Linked DNA regions of Arabidopsis thaliana. The protein of the gene in region 3 binds, or shares a complex with, the protein of the main gene of each other region. Each region holds a gene or a part of one and is shown on either strand. Other genes may lie near its edges.

Region 1 (6,932 bases), on a different chromosome or scaffold from region 3:
TCTCCACTACTCTGCCAGTACATCTTGCAGTCGCTCACACTGAAGAGATTCTTCTGCCTCAGCTCCACCTTGCTCGGGATTTGGACTAGGGCAACCTGAAGAAGGGATATCAACATGTAATTTCAAAACACCAGGCAGAGAAACAGAAGCAAATTAAGGATTCAGAGCTTTTCATGTACATCAGAAATAATAGAAACATACCTTCGCAGGTTGGTTTCCACCACCTTGTTCAGGAACAAACAATGAAAGGATGGAATCAGTAGGAGACCAGCAGATATCCACAACATTATCTACCTTCATGGATTTCTTGTCTATTAGGCTGAAAGTCTCAGTCTCATAGACAGAGATAGTGTTTTTGCTAAGCTTGGCAAAGTATTTATCATCTTTTCCACCAGCCCATCTGTAGAAAAAGTTTACAAGATATCAACATATGTCCATAATAGTGGAGAAGATGATAATATTGGCTGTTTATTTTTAGGACATTGACATGCAGTTGAAAGAATTACCTGAAAACAGGCCAAGAGGCACCAGCAACACCACCAGGTCCTCCAATTGAAAACTCATCAGCACTACCCTTGAAATCTCTCATCATCCTCCCGGTTCTCACATCAAAAACCTTAATCTCAACTTTCTGAAAGTTTGACAGAATTCAGCGTCACAAATAGTAAAAGTTGAAAAGAACAGAAGAAAAGATGCACTCACACTTGCATCTCGCGGGTTGCTTGGTTCTTGGCTATGGTAAGTTACAAGATATTTCTCACCTGGCGAGAAATCAACTAGTTTTACCTAAAACATAATCAACAAAAGATGCAATTTTCAGGCCAACAGAGGAAAAACGGAAGTAATATGTAGCAATTGAAAGGAAATTCAAACCATAGAATGCTGATAACGCATGAGACGCGTGAATGTATCAGCACCACCCCAAACAGCTGCCCCCTGCTTGTGGAGTGTCACAAGGTATGTACCTAAAGGAGACCACTGCACATAACTCTCTGTCCAATACTGCATAGGAAGAGAACATCATTAATTCAAATGAAGGTAACATAACATATAAAAGTGCTCTAAACAGTCAAGTAAACAAATAAGGGATATTAATTCAAATGAAGGTAACATAACATATACATTGCTCTAAACAGTCAAGTAAACAAAAGGGATATACACACAGGAAGTAACTTACAGGACGCTTATGAACAGGTTCAGGCGCCTTCTGCCTAGTATCATTCCAGAAAACTTCAGTATCAGGGCCAGAACGAATGACTAGCTGGTCTCGGGCTTTTTCATCAGTAAGCCATTTTTGCAAATTTTCCTGAAAAAACAAACACCATATAAGTAACGACAATTAGCACCACAAAAGGCTGCAATGAATTAAAATATATACATGAAACAAGAGTTATGAAATTATAGTTATTAGTTAGTATACATCAATTACGTAAAAAGATCCTAACCCTAACGCAGCAGGCAAACACAAAATAAATCAGCGAATTACCAAAATAAAGAAGTGATTACACAGACACAATGGAAGTTATTCAAAGAAAATTATTCAAGGTACAGGGAGTAACATGATGAAAACTACACATACCCCAGGGACGTAGGGCCTGGCCTGAGGAGGCTCCCACTCCTCCTTCACATTCATCAACCTGTCAAAATCATCGAACATGTTTACAGCAAAGATGTGAGACTTGTCCAACTTGTAGCCATGAGACTTTTCCTTAGCGTTTTGTGCTTCCTGCAAAGAGCCCCAGACATTGAGAGAAACTCTTAGGAAATACTCAACCATTAAGAACAACCTAGTTTGGGCTCCTTTCTAACAAGAGAAATAAAGTATTGAAACATATGACGCCGACATTATTGCTTCAGAATCCAACAAAACAGAGATTAAGCTAATCAAGTAGATAAATAACCTGAGGAGTGTTGAACTCAATAAAACAGTAGCCCAATGTCATCTTGGTATCGGGATCAACAGGCATCCACAGTCCATTTTCCTTAATCACACCTAACTGGTTGTAAATTTTCTTGACAACACCTTCAAGTTTCTCAAACTTCTCCTTGGGAACAACAGGGAGGTGATCGACCACGATAATGTTACCGAATCCAGTGTCGAATTCAGACTGGTCATCCTGGTAAACAGCTTCATCATCACTACAACCATCACAGAAAAAAAAAGTGTATAACGAATCAGTTCCATTTTTCATACGTTCATAGATAAAATGTATAAATATAATAAGCTTTGCACCATCAAGGAAAGAGATAAACCAATTCGAAATACACAAAATTTTCATACATACAATAGCAAAACCTAGAATAAAATCATCCCATCGTATAAACACAAGAAGATTAGAAATAGAAGTGACCGTATATGAACAACCAGAGATCTAAAGGAAAATCTCACCTCTCGATCCCAAAGTCTTCTCCAGGAGGAAGTTGGATGGAATCAAAATTAACCTGAGACCAATCAATCCCTAACTTAGCAGCTCGGGCATCAATATCAACGACCTCCATGATTTCAAACCTTATATCAAAAATCTGCCAAAGAAAGCCATATAGAGAGAGCTATCAGTCTTTAACACATTCCAACTTTAAGTCGATAAATAAATGTGAAAAATCTGAGTCTTTAGATCTAAAAGTAGGTTTTTTGTTAACCCTAAACAAGTATTAAAACAACAAACTACCATGGCCAAATGTTCAAAGACTAAAACTTTGAATCATCACTCCCACTATAATGTAAATCTAAAACCATGCCTATAGAAATTATTAACTATACTCTAGTTTTATTTAATCTAGAACCCAACAACAGGTGAAATGGAGAAAAATGGCAAAATTTTCCTGAAGGCTCTCTTATATCTATTGCATCGTTCTGGATCCTGTCTCATAGCTACATAAGAAAAGACAAAAAAAACAAATGAACACTGAAATCGAGATAAGAAACGTACCCAATACAGAGATCAGCCGAGAGCAAAAAACAAAGAAGAAGACGGCGCTTGAAGGTGAGGAAGAAGGAGCGATTGTTTTCAGGTCTTTTTGGATCATACGACGTCGGTTCCTTAAACGGGCTTATAAATATTTATATGGGCCGGGTAAGCCCAATTCAATAGTAATCAGTAGATCTAATTTATTGTCTTTCTCTCGATTAGCTTTTTTTTTTTTTTAACAATAATCCGTCTCTTTCATTTGGTGTCCTCGAGAACCAAATTCGGATAATCTCTCATCGGAGGATCGTTGTTGTTGTTGCTAGGGTTCTTATCGATTTGTAATGTACAAAACTAAATTAATCCCGGTGATGAACGAGGATGCTGTGATTGTTCAACAAACGGATTCGATTCAGGATCCTAAGGTAACTCCAGATGATACTGTAGTTGATTCGAGCGGGGATGTTCACGAAGCCATTGATGATGATGTTGAAGCTTCTTCACCTATGGAGCTAGATTCGGCGGTTACAAATGACGCTAGGGTTCTCGAAAGTGAGAGATCGGAGAAAGATGGTGTCGTAGGGAGTGAGGAGGAAGATGAGATTAAAAGCGAGGATGTTTTAATTGATAAGGATGATGAGAGTTCTGAGGTTAAAGAAGAAGAAGAAGAAGAAGATGGCTCTGATGATCAATCTAGTGAGCTTGGTTCTGAAGCTGATGAGAAGGAATTAGATTTGGGTTTGAAGGAAGAGAAAAAAGGAGTTTCGGATTATAAATCTCTTTTATCTGAGTTTGATGATTATGTTGCAAGTGAGAAAATGGGTTCTGGAGTTTCGAGGGCATTGAGTTATGGGTTTGAAGTTGGAGATTTGGTTTGGGGAAAGGTAAAGTCTCATCCTTGGTGGCCTGGTCATATATTCAATGAAGCTTTTGCGTCTCCTTCTGTTCGTCGTATGAGGAGGATTGATCATGTTCTTGTTGCGTTTTTCGGTGATAGTAGTTATGGTTGGTTTGATCCTGCTGAGCTTATTCCTTTCGAACCGAATTTAGAGGAGAAATCACAGCAGACGGTTTCGAAGCATTTTGTGAGAGCTGTGGAGGAAGCCAAGGATGAGGCGAGTAGAAGGTCAGCTCTTGGTTTGACTTGTAAATGTCGGAATCCTTATAACTTTAGGCCTAGTAATGTGGAAGATTACTTTGCTGTTGATGTGCCTGATTACGAGCTTCAAGCCGTTTACTCTGTTGATCAGATTAAGAATTCTAGGGATAAGTTTTTACCCGCTGAAACCATTTCGTTTGTGAAGCAATTGGCGTTAGCACCTCAAGAGTGTGATCCAGACAGTTTAAAGTTTATGAAGAAGAAAGCAGTGGTTTTTGCTTTCCGCAAGTCAGTGTTTGAGGAGTTTGATGAAACTTATGCACAGGCCTTTGGGACAAAATCACCCCGCAGTTCAGTGAGTACGCTGGAACCTCATAATAGAGCACCGCCTCGAGGTATTAGCCACTTTTCAGAAAATCATGTTATTGTTTGTATATGGGTTTTTTCGTTGTAGACTTGAAACAGCTTTCATATGTGTTACATAGATATTAGATACTGTAACTTGGTTTTAGGGTTTTACTTTTAGATCCTCTGTGCTCATGATTTTAGGATTTATATCTTTGTAGTTGAATTCTTTACATAGCATGCTTGAAAGAATAGTGAAGTCTCATTGATGCTAAACTGTGCATTCGAAAACGTGGCCTGATAACAATTCTGCGCCTCTTTCTACTATGGAGAGTCCCGCATACATTTACCTTGTTTGCTTTATTGTTCATTTTCTTGGTGGGTGATGTGTTGTTTCAATTTCTCTTATTTCCAGCTCCCTTGAGTGGCCCACTGGTCATAGCAGAAACGCTAGGTGACCTTAAGAGCTCTAAAAAACCCACAAAGGTTAAGGTCTCTAAAAAAAAAGACAAGTATCTTCTCAAACGAAGGGATGAAGCTGGTGATAAGTCTGTTCAGTTTGGCGAAATTGAAGCAAGTTCAGAAGCTTCTCATATCCAGGGAATTGATGGATCTTTGGATGGGGATTTTGGGCTGCAGAGAAGAGCTCCGACGCTTCAAACTCCAATGAAAGATGAGAAGTCTGGGATCGTCAGCATGGATTTTGCCTCTTCAAATACAGCTATTCCTGGTAAAGAATTTTCAGCTTCAAAGCCCTCTCTTGATGAAGAAAAGGGTCTAGCTGAAAAATCAAAGGAGAGAATGGAAGAAAGAGCTGCTGTACTTCCAGAGCATGGGAAATCTGAAGCTATGGCGAGTCTTAAACCTAAAGAAGAAGCTGGAACAGATCTTGGATCAGCTGGAAGTTCTCTCCAGCCTCTGCTTGAGTCTCATACCTCAGCATCTGAGGGGAAAAGTTCCACAGGGTCTGTAATCAAGAAAGTCAAAGTTGCTAAACGATCTTCAAGTGAAATGAGCTCGGAGAATCCTCCTTCAGAGCCAAAAAAGAAAAAGAAAAAGAAGAAAGAGCCTGATTCTGACCATCCAGTGAAGAGAAAAAATTTGTATTCTGGGGAAGCTGGGGCCAAGAAATTGTCCCAGCTTGGTTCAGCGCATTTACAAACCTATATGGAAGCCGATGTGCCGCAGCTGTTGAGCCATCTGCAAGATCTCTCTCTTGACCCTTTCCACGGTTTATCCGTTGCTTCTTTTGGAACTGCTAGGAAATTTTTTCTCCGTTTCCGTTCACTTAATTACCAGAAAAGCTTGTCTGTATCTTCCTCTGATGCTACTGTCGAAAATGCCAGAGACACAAAACCCTCAAAACCTGTCAAGACAGTGAAGAGAACCGAAGACCCATCAAAAGCTGGAAAAAAACGGCTCTCTTCTGATCGTCAAGATGAAATCCCATCAGCTAAGAAGCTGAAGAAAACTAATCAGTTGAAATCAATGGCTTCTGAAAAGAAGATCATTCGAGAAGCAAAGGATAGTATAAAACCAATAAGAGAGCCAAGCAGGGTGGTACAAGCAAAACCAGCCAGAGGTCAAACCGGGAAGAAAACAGCTCCATCAGTTAAGGTGGTTGAGCCAACAATGCTGGTCATGAAATTCCCACCTGGCACATCTCTCCCTTCAGCCGCATTGCTAAAGGCGAGGTTTGGTCGCTTCGGGCTGTTAGATCAATCCGCCATTAGGGTTTTCTGGAAATCATCGACCTGCCGTGTTGTCTTTCTGTACAAAGCCGATGCCCAGACTGCTTTTCGATATGCAACAGGAAACAACACTCTATTTGGAAACGTGAATGTAAAGTACTTTCTCCGTGATGTGGATGCTCCTAAAGCCGAGCCTCGTGAGCCAGAAAACACCAAGGAAGATGATGAACCACAGAGCCAGTGGTTGGACCAAGCACCACCGCTTCACCAACCAACATTACCGCCACCAAACGTCAACCTCAAATCCTGTTTGAAGAAACCAGTTGATGACCCGAGCAGTAGTAGCAACAATGGAAACGGTAACCGCGCAGCCGTAAGAGTCAAATTCATGTTAGGTGGTGAAGAAAACTCGAGTAAAGCAAACACCGAGCCACCACAGGTCACAATGACCTTGAATAGAAACAGTGGACCTTCTTCATCATCATCATCTGTTCCAATGGAATTTGTTAGTAAGAAGTTTCAAAACGTTGTTCATCATCAACAGCTTCCTCCTTCTACATTGCCTCCAATTCTTCCTCTCCCTCCACAATACACAAAACCACAACAACTTCCCATTAAACCAGTAGACCACGTCGAACCACCAATGCCACCTTCAAGAAACTTCCGTGGCCCGATCCCAGCGGTTAGCGCTGGGGACATCTCTCACCAGATGCTCAACCTTTTGTCAAAATGCAACGAAGTAGTGGCTAACGTCACGGGCTTATTGGGCTACGTCCCTTATCATCCCTTGTAACAAAACGAAGCCCGTTGAGAGAAAATGTGAGTGTTTGTTTGGTTTTTGGTGATAATATTGTATGTTAGGTATTAGTTTGGTTCGTTAACTTTAAATCA
Region 2 (6,932 bases), on a different chromosome or scaffold from region 3:
CTCCGTTAACTGGAAAGCCAATGATTGTAATCTGCTGTGTTGCACTTCATGGAAGACGATGCATCGTGTTGGCTGATCCCAGCTTGCATGCAGTTCCTCATTAATCATCATCTTACTCACAATGCTGTGGACCTGCGGCTCAGAGACGTCAAACATTTTGGCCAGCTGATCAAGACTCAAGGACTCATAAGAGCTTGAGTATGTGAATAGGTAAGTCCTTAGAGCCTCTTCTTTGATCCTATCCTTCACCATGTCAAGGATGCTGTCACGGTTCTTGAGCAGCCTCCAGACCTCAAGAGAGTTCAAAACTTCAAACGCCTTCTGGAAATCTCCTTTGGTCAGGGCTCTGGTGGCTGCCATGACATGGTCACGTACATTCTCAGGCGGTGCAGTGAATGCTTGCCTTTCACTGATCTCGAGCAGGCGGCGGAAATTCTTGCTAATCACTCTGCGTTTGGCATCGTGCGAGTTTGCAGCCATGTTTGGGACTTCAAGAAGCATGGCACAGATGAGATGAACTGCCTCCAGAAGCTCAAGGTTTAAGTGCATGTGGTACGGCATTTGTCTTCTCCTTTCCATCCTTTCCTGGTAAATCAAGAAATAAACCAAGAAAGTTTTATATCACATATAAATAAACTGAACGAAAAACATAACCATAAGCATCCATGTTGAAATAGAGAAAATGGATTGTGTGAAATGAAACAAAATGAAGAACCCAAAAATGCAACAGTGTTTGTAATCATGTCTCAATCAGAACTATCTGGTCAAACAATTTTTTTTCAATCCTATCTGTATTAAATCTAAAAACAGAAGATAACTAGTTACCTGCTCCGGGGTTTTCTCATGGTATCGGCTTTGCGAGACACCTTGGGCAAGCAACTCTCTCACTCTTTGACCAGAGTACAGCTCGGAAAGGCAGCTATGGGACTCAGTGATCATTCCAGCCCGGAAGGCGCAAAGACCAAGCTGCGCCATGGTCCTGTTAAAGAGAATCTGTGTTGAGATGTCCATGTGCTGGATGTTGTCTTGCAGATGACTCATCAGCAACAGGTCTCTAGCAGTCACAAAGTTGTCCATTAAAGCATGGTGATTGATATCACATAGCATCGCACGCGCTTTGGTCCGCTCATCTCCATTTCTGTAGATAAGGGACACAAGAATATCCATCATAGCTCGGCTGCTCTCTGGGAAGGTAGGCTTACGGGGAACAACCTCCGGAACAACAATAAATGAAGTAGGAGGTCCACTTTCCTCTTTGGCCTCCTCAGTTTCTTCTTCTTCTTCCACCAACTCAGCCAATTTCCTCATTGCATCATAAACTTCCTGGGGCTTGTAGTATATTGCCTCAACACGTCTTAAGGCTACCTTTGCAGCAGCTTTAAAATCACCCATCCGCTCAAAGTAGTCCTGGATGTTCTGAGCAAGGGCCAAGAACATGGGCTCATCCCTTAGCCTCTCAACATACTCACGGGTGTGAGGATCAATGCATTGCAAACTCTTGAAAAACTCAGTGTCAACCCTCTCCAAGAATGCAACCAAATTTCCCCAGACCCGAATTTTTCCATCATAATCTGTTGGCTTTGAAGTTTCGTTCTCATCAGGCTCAACTGTGTCATCCACAACAATGTTACTGTACTTGACGAGAATGTCCAGTATGGTGAGCATGTTAAGCACGCATTTCTTCCAGACATTGATAGGCATGTGCCCGCTGAGACCTGGATTCACATCAAACTGAGCCGAAATAACGCTAAACAAGATTTCAAGCTTCTGTGCAGGAGTCTTGGCAATCTTTGTCAAGTGCGTAAGCTGATCAACTAGCTCAAATCGAGCAGTGCCCTTTTTTCCACGAGCAGCCACAATTTCCTTGAACTTCTTGTTGACCCAGTCCCAAGTGATCTCTTTAGGATCTTTATTCATTAGCTTCTCCAAAAGCTTATCTTTTTTGCTCAGCATCTTCTCCCAAGTGAGATTATCAGTAGGTTCATCCACATCGGACCCAGGATCTACGGTAGGTCCGTCGATGGAAGAATCATCATCATCTTCAACCTCATCATCATCATCGTCATCATCATCATCATCTTCAGGTTGTTTCTCTTCCTCAACTTCTGGAGCCTCACGATACTTGTTGATATCGTCTTCGTACAACTTATTGTTCTTCTTCAATTTCTGTTTCATTGAGTTCAAAGCCTTGGAGTTACTAGTACTCATCTTCTTCTTGGCTTCCTTATTGGCAAGAGCTTCATTCAAGAAATCCTCCAACATAACAAGCGTCTTGATATACAAGGTAGGAGGCTTCACAGCCTCAGTAATCCTCATAACCTTCTCAAGCTGTTTGTTAACCTTATCAAAGTTTTCTTGAAGGCTGACCCAATCATTGATCTTCATAGCATTCTTCATCTGATCAACAGTGTAGGTCATCTCCTCAAAACGTTTATCCTTAGCAGGCTTAACCACACGTTTCGTATCAGTATCATCATCATCCTCACTACCACTTTGAAGGTAACGGTTATTGACGTCATCATTCTGAACCTCATTAACCTCTACCTCATAATCACTTTCATCTTCACTTTCACTTCCAACCTATCAACATAACAAGTAAAAATCATTCAGAAACTGAAGCAAGTAAAGGTAAAGAGAGTTTATAAACAAGAGGTCTGTTGAAGGAAACCTGAGTGAAAAAACGAGACGTCATCTTTTTAGCTGGAAGCGTAAGCAACAAGAACCTGATACACCAAAAGTAACAAATCTGAATAGTGAATCAGAGGAACGAAATTATAAGTAAAACAAACCAATCCATTCGAAGAACATAATCTGAACGAAACAATCGTGTCACAGATACAGACTCGTATCAACAAAGAATTAGAATCGATTCGAATCAATCTACACCAAACTAGAATCGAAAATTTGTTACGCTAGATGATGAGGAACAAAATTACCTGAATTCAGAAGATGGAGATGGAGATGGAGATTTGCGAAGGAGATGCTTGAGGAGGATTACGAATCTAAACAAAAATGGTGTGTAGCCGTCCAAGCATTTTGGTCGAGATGAAAAAATATATAGAATTAGGGTTTCGTGATTTACTCACTAAACCGGATTCGATTTGATTCTATTTCCATACCGAAACTGAAAACCGAGGACAATTAAAACGCTCTCGATCGGTTTTTATTTTATTTACAAACCGAATTGGTCGAACCAGGACTAAATGAAATTGTAGTGATGGTTAGTTCAATTAAATTGAGAAAAGAACCGGTTCTTAGTCCTCTTTCCTAGCTGCTTATCAGACAGATTACATATGAATTGCTTTGTACGCTGGTAACGTCAAATGACTAAATGTTTTCAAATATAGATACAAGTTTTTTTTTTACATAGTTTCATAAATCATACAAATTGGATCAGCAAACACCGACCGGAATCTCTAGAGCATATACATACAGAAAGAGAGAGAGAGAGAGAGATGGTCAATGATCAACTAAGCTTTGGTGATTGGAAAGATATCAAAATCCCCAGTCTTGCTGCTATGTATATAACTGACATTCAGTGTGTTTAGGATGTAACCTTCTCCACAGCATTGGTTTCATTGCTTTCTATCTCTCTCTCTCTCTCTCAAGCTGTCTTTACTTTAGTCGAAGTATCTTTTCCTCTCCGGAGCCATAAGTTGACAAGAACTGAATCAATCATGATCTGTAACATTCCAGATTTACGTCAATAATTTATAAAATTATGCACACAAGTACATGATGATTATAATACAATTTGTAACCTGGTTCAGGTGTGCAGCTACACAAGGAAGAACCAATAGCCCTGTCTCACCAAATGCACCTCCTAATTGCTCTACTACCGCCACCATTACCGGTAATGTTTTCTATGCCACCACAAGAAAAGAACTCCCAAATTTAAGAGATCAAAATCGGTTCTAAAAGGCAAACTCTATTATTACCTGGCTTGAAACGAGCAAAACTGCAGTGCTGTTTTCCTTGGAGCTCTTGCTACCACCTGTAAGACCGGAGAGGATGCGGATTGAAACAGCATTGAATGCTAGTAGAGAAAGATGCAGCAATCTGTAAGAAGACGTAAGAATCTTCTGTCAAACGTAATCCGCATTTCTAACACACAAGCCAAATATTTCCATGAGCTTCTTCACTTGGTATCTTTTCTATATGTTAAAAGAAGAATGCGTACATTCCAATGCCAACTGCTGCAAGGAAAACCTTAGGTTGAACGGATAGTAGCAGTGATCTTGACCTGCTCACTTGGATCCATGGCACCTAGAATATTAATCATGGAATAAACACTATTAAGTTCCCAAAATAACCAGGTAAATGCAATAACAAAGTCAGACCAGTTGAAGTAGCCAGGGAAGCAGAGGTTAAACTATAAAAAGGAAAAAAGTATTAAGTCCTTCTATCTCCAAAGTCATAACCGTGACTGCAAATATGGTTTTTGCAATTTAGTAAAAGCTTTGGATTGGCACATCAATGCCACGGAATGTTGAAATCCCAAGCTATCATACAAGAAAAGAGAAAGTTTTAAGTACAGGCATCTAAAATGCCAAGTTTAAGATTCCTGCAACAAAGCAAAACTCCAAGGATATGACTTCAGAAAGTTATTCAAGGGGTGTAGAAATTACGGGAGACTAACATTTCATATCTTACCAAACTGAGGCAGATTGCGTTGATTTTCGAAAAGAGTTTACGGTTATTGTCAACAAAGTTTGCGAAACCTGTATCACACATTTCAACAAGAGTTTCAACAAGGTCAGAAAGTAGGCAGCGATAAGCATATATATTTATTATAAACAGAACCATTTTGATCCATTGTCACGATAAAGTGACTGCTAACTATTTAAAATGGTATGTATTCAATTACTTTCACCAGAGAAGTAAAATATAACAAATGGCGCTCACCTTTGAATGATTCTCGAATAACCTATAACAGAAGAAACCAAGTATGTCAAAGCTCGATTTTAAAAACGTGTGCAAAATGGCAAGTGATAGAACTTCATGCTGAAATGACTGTTTGTGAAAGGTTCATATAAACATCAGGGAAAGTAACAAATAATAGAGAGTAAGCTTTCTTCATTTTCAAATGAGCCACGCAACAACCCTATTATAATTTCCAATAAAGTATTCACATATCTTTTGGCAACAACCACCTCTGCAAATTTAGCTTTCACAATTGTACCGTATATCAGAATTTATATTGATTCATCATTGCAAGAACAGGACAAACAGAAAGATTGTCTCACCTTGCCAATGATTAAAGGAATTAACAGAGTAACTATAAGACTTCTGAATAGTTGGTCAGTAGGAAACGAAACCCCTACTCCCCCAGCTATGTATCTTGATACCCAAAATGGAATCTGATTAGAGGTCAAACCACGTTAACTTCAGTGTCAGAAGACGCAATACTCATTCTTAATAGAAGACTTTGAAGTTTGAATCCTACTCATAGTCATAGATACAAGATCATGAGTTGTTTTGAGAACAAATTGCTAAGCAATTCGGAAATATAGACCAGGAAACAATCTTACTAAAAATACCCCTGATTCTGCATGATCAACTAGTTTCAAAGGAGGAACAATAATATGCAAGTCGTTCGGCTTACAGTTAAAATTCCTAATAAGTTAGATGCCACTGTCACAGCAAGAGCAAGAGCAGCATTACCACCAGCAAGCTGAATTGGCAATATGATAAGTCAGTGGAACGCAAGAAAAACAGTTTTGCACAAAATATTGATTAGACTTATATCAAATTGAGTACGTGAGTAAGGGCAACACCACTTGATAAGGTGGTTGGCATACAGCAAAATATACCCAGCCCTGTAAAGAGCAAAAGGACATACATAAGTTTTGGACTCCTCAATCACTAACTCACTACTGAGCTGGAACTGAAGAATAAGGTATTCAAAATTGAACCATAAATGTAAGAAACGGATCAAGATTCAAAGACAACGTCAAAGTGGAACTGTTGGATACAAGATCACAAAGGCAATCAGATTACTACTTAATAACGCAGCTATAGTTGATCAATTAGTTGTCAGATATTATATAACGAGAGACAATTTAACAAAAACTGTAGATGTAATGTAAATCAATGGAAGCCGATACAATATAAGCAGTAACAAGTTCAGGAAAGAACGTGGTCTTTGAAGTTTTACTTGACACTAAGTTTAAGATAGAGAAAGAGTAACCTGTAACAAGTTCACGAGGTTGGAGTTGGACCAACATAATTAGCCTTGAGAAGGATGGAGTGAGCAACAAAATAGAGATCTGAAAGAAAAAGAGAAATAGTTTGCGTTTAAGTATGTAGTATAACTAACAGGAGTTAAAAAAAGGAAAAGCATTACCAAAAGGTTTCTATTCATTAGATTTTCTTATTTTCAGAACTTAGCAGAAGAGATCTACAGAAGAGGAAACATTCACAGAACATATGAAAGCTAAAGATGAGTCAAGATCATACTAGCCCAAAGAGTCCAAGAGGCCACCCTTTGACAGCAGCACCAATCGCTTCGGTACGTAAAGTCAACCCTGCTCCACAATACATGAAAAGAGTACACATTTGATAAGCTATTCGACAGAAACAAAGTGATTGCTTCCATCACCCTTTAACATAGAAAAAGAAGAAGAACAAAGCAATTGTACACTTATGCCACAGCTGATAGAATCACCTGATATAATAAATATCCCGCATGTGCTGATCTTAGTGAAAGAGTACTTGTCTGCAAGACAGCCTAGAGTCGGATTTGCAAAGCCCAACCCCACTCCACTAACAAGAGCTAACCAACAAAGCACAACATGAAATTGAAATGTCAAAAGTAACAAAGTGAGGCATAAGAGGTCACTAGAAGCATCACATTAAAGTGATAAGTAATCTTCATGGAAAATTGAATTTTGATGCAGTCAACCTTGTCATCAGACTTTAAAAGATCTAGC
Region 3 (4,921 bases):
ATTTTTTAATAGAAAACAAAATAAGAAACAAAAATTAAACACGGAAACTCTAGAAAATTTGTTTAAAAACAGAAGGCACCAAATTTCTTCTGGATAAGATTTGAAATCAATTTCCAAAAGGGAACCAATTAACCATAATCTCAAAGAAAAGTGCCAAGCTGAGAACATAGAAAGGGGAAAACAGTTTTCCTCAATTTCTCTCAGATTAATACCCAACAAAGAAAGAAAAAAAAGCCACCTTTGAAATTGAAGAAATACAAGAGAGAGACGGTAAGAAGATTTACATAAACGAAGATTTGCAGTTTCTTTTTTGGTGCTCGTCTGGCTTTCTTTTGTTTTTCCTGTCTCTCCCGTTTTTATGTTCACGACTTGTCTGTCTGATCGTTTGCCTTTGTTTATTTCACTTTTTATTCACGTATTTATCACCCTTCTTTATATCCTCCACGTATCTTAATTAAATCTAACTTGTTCACTTCAATCACATATTGTATCTTCATTAGTCTTCATTATGTCGACTAAATAAAATAGAAAAAACAAATCATTAGGTTCATGATTGTCAAAAAAACAATTATAAATAAAACACCGTTCATTGTTGTCGATCAAATTGAAAATTTATATATTATATTCATAAAATTCAATTATTTATTCTGTTAAGCAATTCAAAAAAGTCTCATATATGTACAAAATTACAAAACTAGTTACATCAAAATCAAAAGTTATGATCTTGGGAATAACCTAGTTGTTAGTAGAATAATAGTATTGTTTTAAGCAATCATCTTAGATACGAGATGATCTAACTAATTATAGTTTAATCAGTCAAATTTATCACATAGGGAGCAGTCAAAATATGCATGGGAAAAGAGAAAATTGTGCACGTGACATGATTTGGTGTCAACATGTGAGCTTCCAAATGGATGGCTGTCAATCTTCGTATGTGATCTGTGTAGAGAGGACGACAAGACATAGACAGTCTCTTTGTATTTCAAACTTTCTCAATACAAATTTGCCGTGTCAGTTTCTATATTCCAAGAAACCTAAACAAAAGTTTTTTTTTTCCTTTGCTTTTTAAAGAAGACAATTGTTTGGGTTGTCTGAAGATTCGTTTAGTTTATTTAGATGTAATGAAGTAAACAGAAGATAATCAATCAGAAACGAGCCAATTCCAACACTTGTTGAGAAACCAGTATTGGAATCCATGGAAGGTAAAAAAAAAGGTAAGAAGCAGAGCTCAGACTATGAAGATCTACTAATTATGGCAAAGTCTCGGTCTACTAGATTTTTAAGAAAATCTGTCAAATTGCAAAGAGGAAGGCCATTGCCAAAATTCACATTACGGTGTCTTAAAAGTGTACATCACAAGATAACAAGAGACAAAAGGAAAATTTGCAGTGTTCTCATGAATTGGTTCAACCAAGGATGGGGAAGATGCGGGCAATGTGTTCCAAGGGAACATTCTCACCTGTATTTTTCTTGAGCTCCGGATGGTTAAATTCATTTTGTGGTAAGACAATACTTCCACCCTCTTTCTCAACAATCCATCCACTGTTAGTCACTTGCTGCTCGATGAATTTGTCTAGAGATGCACCATCCATGTTAACAGCCTGTGAAAATTGTCATTTATTGACAAATAAAAGGTCAACAAATTAGATTTCCAGAACTATGATGTGGAATATTCGTAACAGAAAATTATATGAGAAAGTAAAAGATTTCACATCCGAAGTTCTACTATTTTGATGACTTAAGCTATCCGTGGTGAAAACGAGATCATAAACCAAACATCATACCTCAGCCAGCACTGATCTTGGAACCTTTTGGTAGCTTAAGCTAAGAAGGTGACTTGCATATGCTTGAATAGCTTGCTCAAAACCTGCATTTAATCTCTCGCATATAAGACATCTACACTAGACACAATCATAAAATGAATAGACAGTACCATAAACCACTACTGAGGACTTTGTTCGTACCATAAGACATCTACACACAAATATCCTTAAGTAACAAATCTACATCTAGAAATTTGTTATTAGTAGACGATTTATTTATGATTCAGAAGTTAGTTACCTGGAACAGCCTCGAGAATGTGACGGTTCTTGGCAGCTTCATCCCAGAACTGTTGGAACCTCCCAGTCTGCAAAAGAAAAACAAGTGCTTTAAATACTCAATGCACACCTTTTCAACTCTCAACTAACTAATACTGATGTTTGCGTACCTCAAGGTAGTGTGATAGAACAATTAGTGACTTGAACTGCTCCTCCATTTGCTGAAACACACAATCCAAACAAGTACATTTATTAGTCCTCAAGAATCCAACACATTGAAACTCACACTTTATCATGAATGCTCAGTACACAGACTGAACTGACAGAAATAACTTGGAATGGCATAATAACTTGAGTCAGAAACATTTGAACAATCGTTTCTTCTGTATCTACGATAAGCTATATATGTAAGAAAGCAAAACATTGTGAAGTTAAGAGGAAAGAAGAATACCACTCTTTCGGGAATCAAGAAGAGGCAAAGGCTGAAGTCTGGAGTTGGCATAGCCATAAGAGCCTTGACCAAGATTCGAGCCACGATATGAGTGTTCATGCGCTCAGGCTCAAACTGCATAAAAGCAACAATACCAATTAACGAAAAGAGACACTAAAACTCTTGAATTTGGTATCAAAAGGTCCAGCTTAAGAACAACTAGAGCACCTGATAGAGCCGAAGCAAGCATAGGTTTACTTCCAGACTATACGTTTGCGATGTAACCTGAAAATCATAACGAAACCAACAACAATCAATGGAACACGATTTCTACAACAGAATCCGGCTTGAGAGAAAAGGGAAAGGAAACTGCACGTTAACGTAGTTTTCGAGATCAGGCAGGATTTCAGGGTTGAAAGGATTAAGGGCGACGAGCTGCTCAACGGTGTAAGAGCTCTGTTCCTGCGGCGATTGGATCTCTACTCCCATCTCTGCCTCTTTCTCCTTCTCCGTTTCTGTCCCTTTTGCGTCGGTCTCTTCGAACTTTGATAGATCACTGAGGAATGTGCAGAGGAGATTCGCTGATAAGACGAATCTAGGGTTTAAAAGCCAAAACGACAAAGCTTTGTCGTTTGGGCTAATGGTGCAATTGACAAAACGTTTGGGTTAAATTAGGATGACAGAGAAACTACAAAGGGTTGTTTAGTAAATAACTATTTTTAAGCCATTTTGATGCCACAGACTCGGTAAATAAATATTTTCTCAGTTTGCTTTTAAAGATTGATACTACACTAGAGTTTGCATTCGATTAACCATGGTCCAAAAGTTCACCAGTGAACATCTTTTCAAACAAAACTGTCAGCATCTACGAGTTCTCTGATCACAACTTCATGAAGTCTCACTTTGTTTCCAGTAGAATAATAAATGTGGATATCCTTCAAGAGTATAAAATCATAATCTTTCTTTTTTCAAATTTCAATATATACAAGTAATCTTTATATTCACGAAGAATGAATCCTTTGGTAATAAAATAAAAATAAAAATATATAGTTTCTTTTTGTAACAATCAATGGGTTTTCCTTGTTGTTTTAGTCTTCAACAGCTTCATCGAATACGATTCACATGAGAAAATGGCTCGGCAACTGCTTTTGGTGCAGCTTTTTTTGCAGTCTCTGGTACTCCAAAAACGTTCCAAAACCTCAGGGTCTCGTCTCCTGCTGCTGAAGCTACAGTACAACCATCTGGACTCTGTAGAAAACACAACAAACAACACAAGTTTAAGGACTGAATGACCTCAAAGACTCAAACTACTTCACCACTTAAAGAAATTGATGACGTTACCTGGGCCATATATAGAACTCTTGATGTATGACCAGTGAGCTCAGCCATTTTCACCATGGATGGGTACTTCCAAAGTGTAAGCTGATTCTGTGTAAACCCATGTGAGCTAAGCAACTCTCTTTCATTCTTGCTCCATAACAACGAACAAACTTGGGAACCAGTGTCTACTGAATTCAAGCAAGCCCCAGTGTGAGTATTCCAGAACTTTATCGTCCTGTCTCCTCCACCACCACCAGTTGCAAGCAAATTCGCTTGGAAAGGGCACCACGCAAGAGCCTTCACAGCAGATGTATGTTCCTCAAGCCTGTGCAGCCATTGTGTGGTTGAGTTTGAGGAAGCGACAGAACGATCCCAGATGTGTACCACATTGTCGTTGCCACCACTTGCTAGTTGTTGTCCAGATCCTGACCACTTGAGCCCACAAACTTCTTGAGTGTGACCTCTGTAAGTTTCCACAATGGGTGATCTGATCCTCACATCATTGTTGATGATCAGTCCATCCATTCCTCCAGTAGTAAGGATATGATTGTTCCATGCCAGTGATCCTACTCTTGACTGGTGACCACCCTTTAATGTTCTCAGCTGCAGAAATATGAGAAACACATCAGACTAAGAACACCGGATATTATATCTCAACATAAAAGAGAGAGAGTAGTAATTACTTGACGGTTGGATGCAGAATCCCACAGCTGGACTTCAGAGTTGTTGAGTCCAACTGCAACATGACGACCATCAGGAGCCCAGTTGATACTTGTGACAGGTCCCTTCTCCTCATCAATGGTCACAAGCTCAGATGTAGAACCAGTGGAAGCATCCCACAAGTAGACAGTGTGGTCCAACGCTATGGCTAAGACATTTGCACTTCCCCAGTCCAGCAAGTTGAGGTAGAAATCGTCAACAATGTCAGGTGCATCCAAGGTTCTCTCAGAAGTCTGTTAATCACAACAGAAAGTTTAGCAACAGATCAATACAACTCTAATGCAGCAACCAGTAAGTGAGCTTTAAGGATCAAACGCAATAAATACAGTACATACCTGAGGAATGTATCGACGAGGCTTTACAGATTTGGGTTGTTGGTGAAGAGAAGCAGAGTGATTGCTCGGAAGCAGTT

What was found.
Region 1: EIF3K (region 3) and TIF3B1 share a complex: the UniProt entries of both Arabidopsis thaliana proteins name them as parts of the eukaryotic translation initiation factor 3 (eIF-3) complex.
Region 2: EIF3K (region 3) and EIF3C share a complex: the UniProt entries of both Arabidopsis thaliana proteins name them as parts of the eukaryotic translation initiation factor 3 (eIF-3) complex.

The regions. Positions count from the first base shown.
Region 1 is NC_003076.8:9,782,261-9,789,192, forward strand, and holds the start of TIF3B1 (translation initiation factor 3B1), read right to left. Parts: upstream 3,029-6,932; 5' UTR 2,931-3,028; intron 2,916-2,930; exon of another isoform or gene 2,524-2,915; 5' UTR 2,500-2,523; coding exon 2,390-2,499; intron 2,140-2,389; coding exon 1,902-2,139; intron 1,805-1,901; coding exon 1,580-1,804; intron 1,307-1,579; coding exon 1,178-1,306; intron 1,003-1,177; coding exon 874-1,002; intron 787-873; coding exon 703-786; intron 632-702; coding exon 507-631; intron 401-506; coding exon 202-400; intron 96-201; coding exon 1-95. Other genes in the region: AT5G27650 (Tudor/PWWP/MBT superfamily protein), read left to right, coding at 3,251-4,400, 4,766-6,834. UniProt on the Arabidopsis thaliana protein: RNA-binding component of the eukaryotic translation initiation factor 3 (eIF-3) complex, which is involved in protein synthesis of a specialized repertoire of mRNAs and, together with other initiation factors, stimulates binding of mRNA and methionyl-tRNAi to the 40S ribosome.
Region 2 is NC_003074.8:20,834,129-20,841,060, forward strand, and holds the start of EIF3C (eukaryotic translation initiation factor 3C), read right to left. Parts: upstream 3,148-6,932; 5' UTR 2,937-3,147; intron 2,747-2,936; exon of another isoform or gene 2,724-2,746; 5' UTR 2,693-2,723; coding exon 2,669-2,692; intron 2,581-2,668; coding exon 826-2,580; intron 586-825; coding exon 1-585. Other genes in the region: AT3G56160 (Sodium Bile acid symporter family), read right to left, coding at 3,605-3,682, 3,762-3,863, 3,939-4,059, 4,181-4,266, 4,654-4,721, 4,906-4,927, 5,247-5,360, 5,606-5,674 and 4 more. UniProt on the Arabidopsis thaliana protein: Component of the eukaryotic translation initiation factor 3 (eIF-3) complex, which is involved in protein synthesis of a specialized repertoire of mRNAs and, together with other initiation factors, stimulates binding of mRNA and methionyl-tRNAi to the 40S ribosome.
Region 3 is NC_003075.7:16,037,660-16,042,580, forward strand, and holds EIF3K (eukaryotic translation initiation factor 3K), read right to left. Parts: upstream 3,150-4,921; 5' UTR 2,959-3,149; coding exon 2,845-2,958; intron 2,755-2,844; coding exon 2,698-2,754; intron 2,605-2,697; coding exon 2,491-2,604; intron 2,261-2,490; coding exon 2,210-2,260; intron 2,129-2,209; coding exon 2,062-2,128; intron 1,868-2,061; coding exon 1,785-1,867; intron 1,602-1,784; coding exon 1,407-1,601; 3' UTR 992-1,406; downstream 1-991. Other genes in the region: CDC20.2 (Transducin family protein / WD-40 repeat family protein), read right to left, coding at 3,574-3,717, 3,811-4,392, 4,473-4,742, 4,845-4,921. UniProt on the Arabidopsis thaliana protein: Component of the eukaryotic translation initiation factor 3 (eIF-3) complex, which is involved in protein synthesis of a specialized repertoire of mRNAs and, together with other initiation factors, stimulates binding of mRNA and methionyl-tRNAi to the 40S ribosome.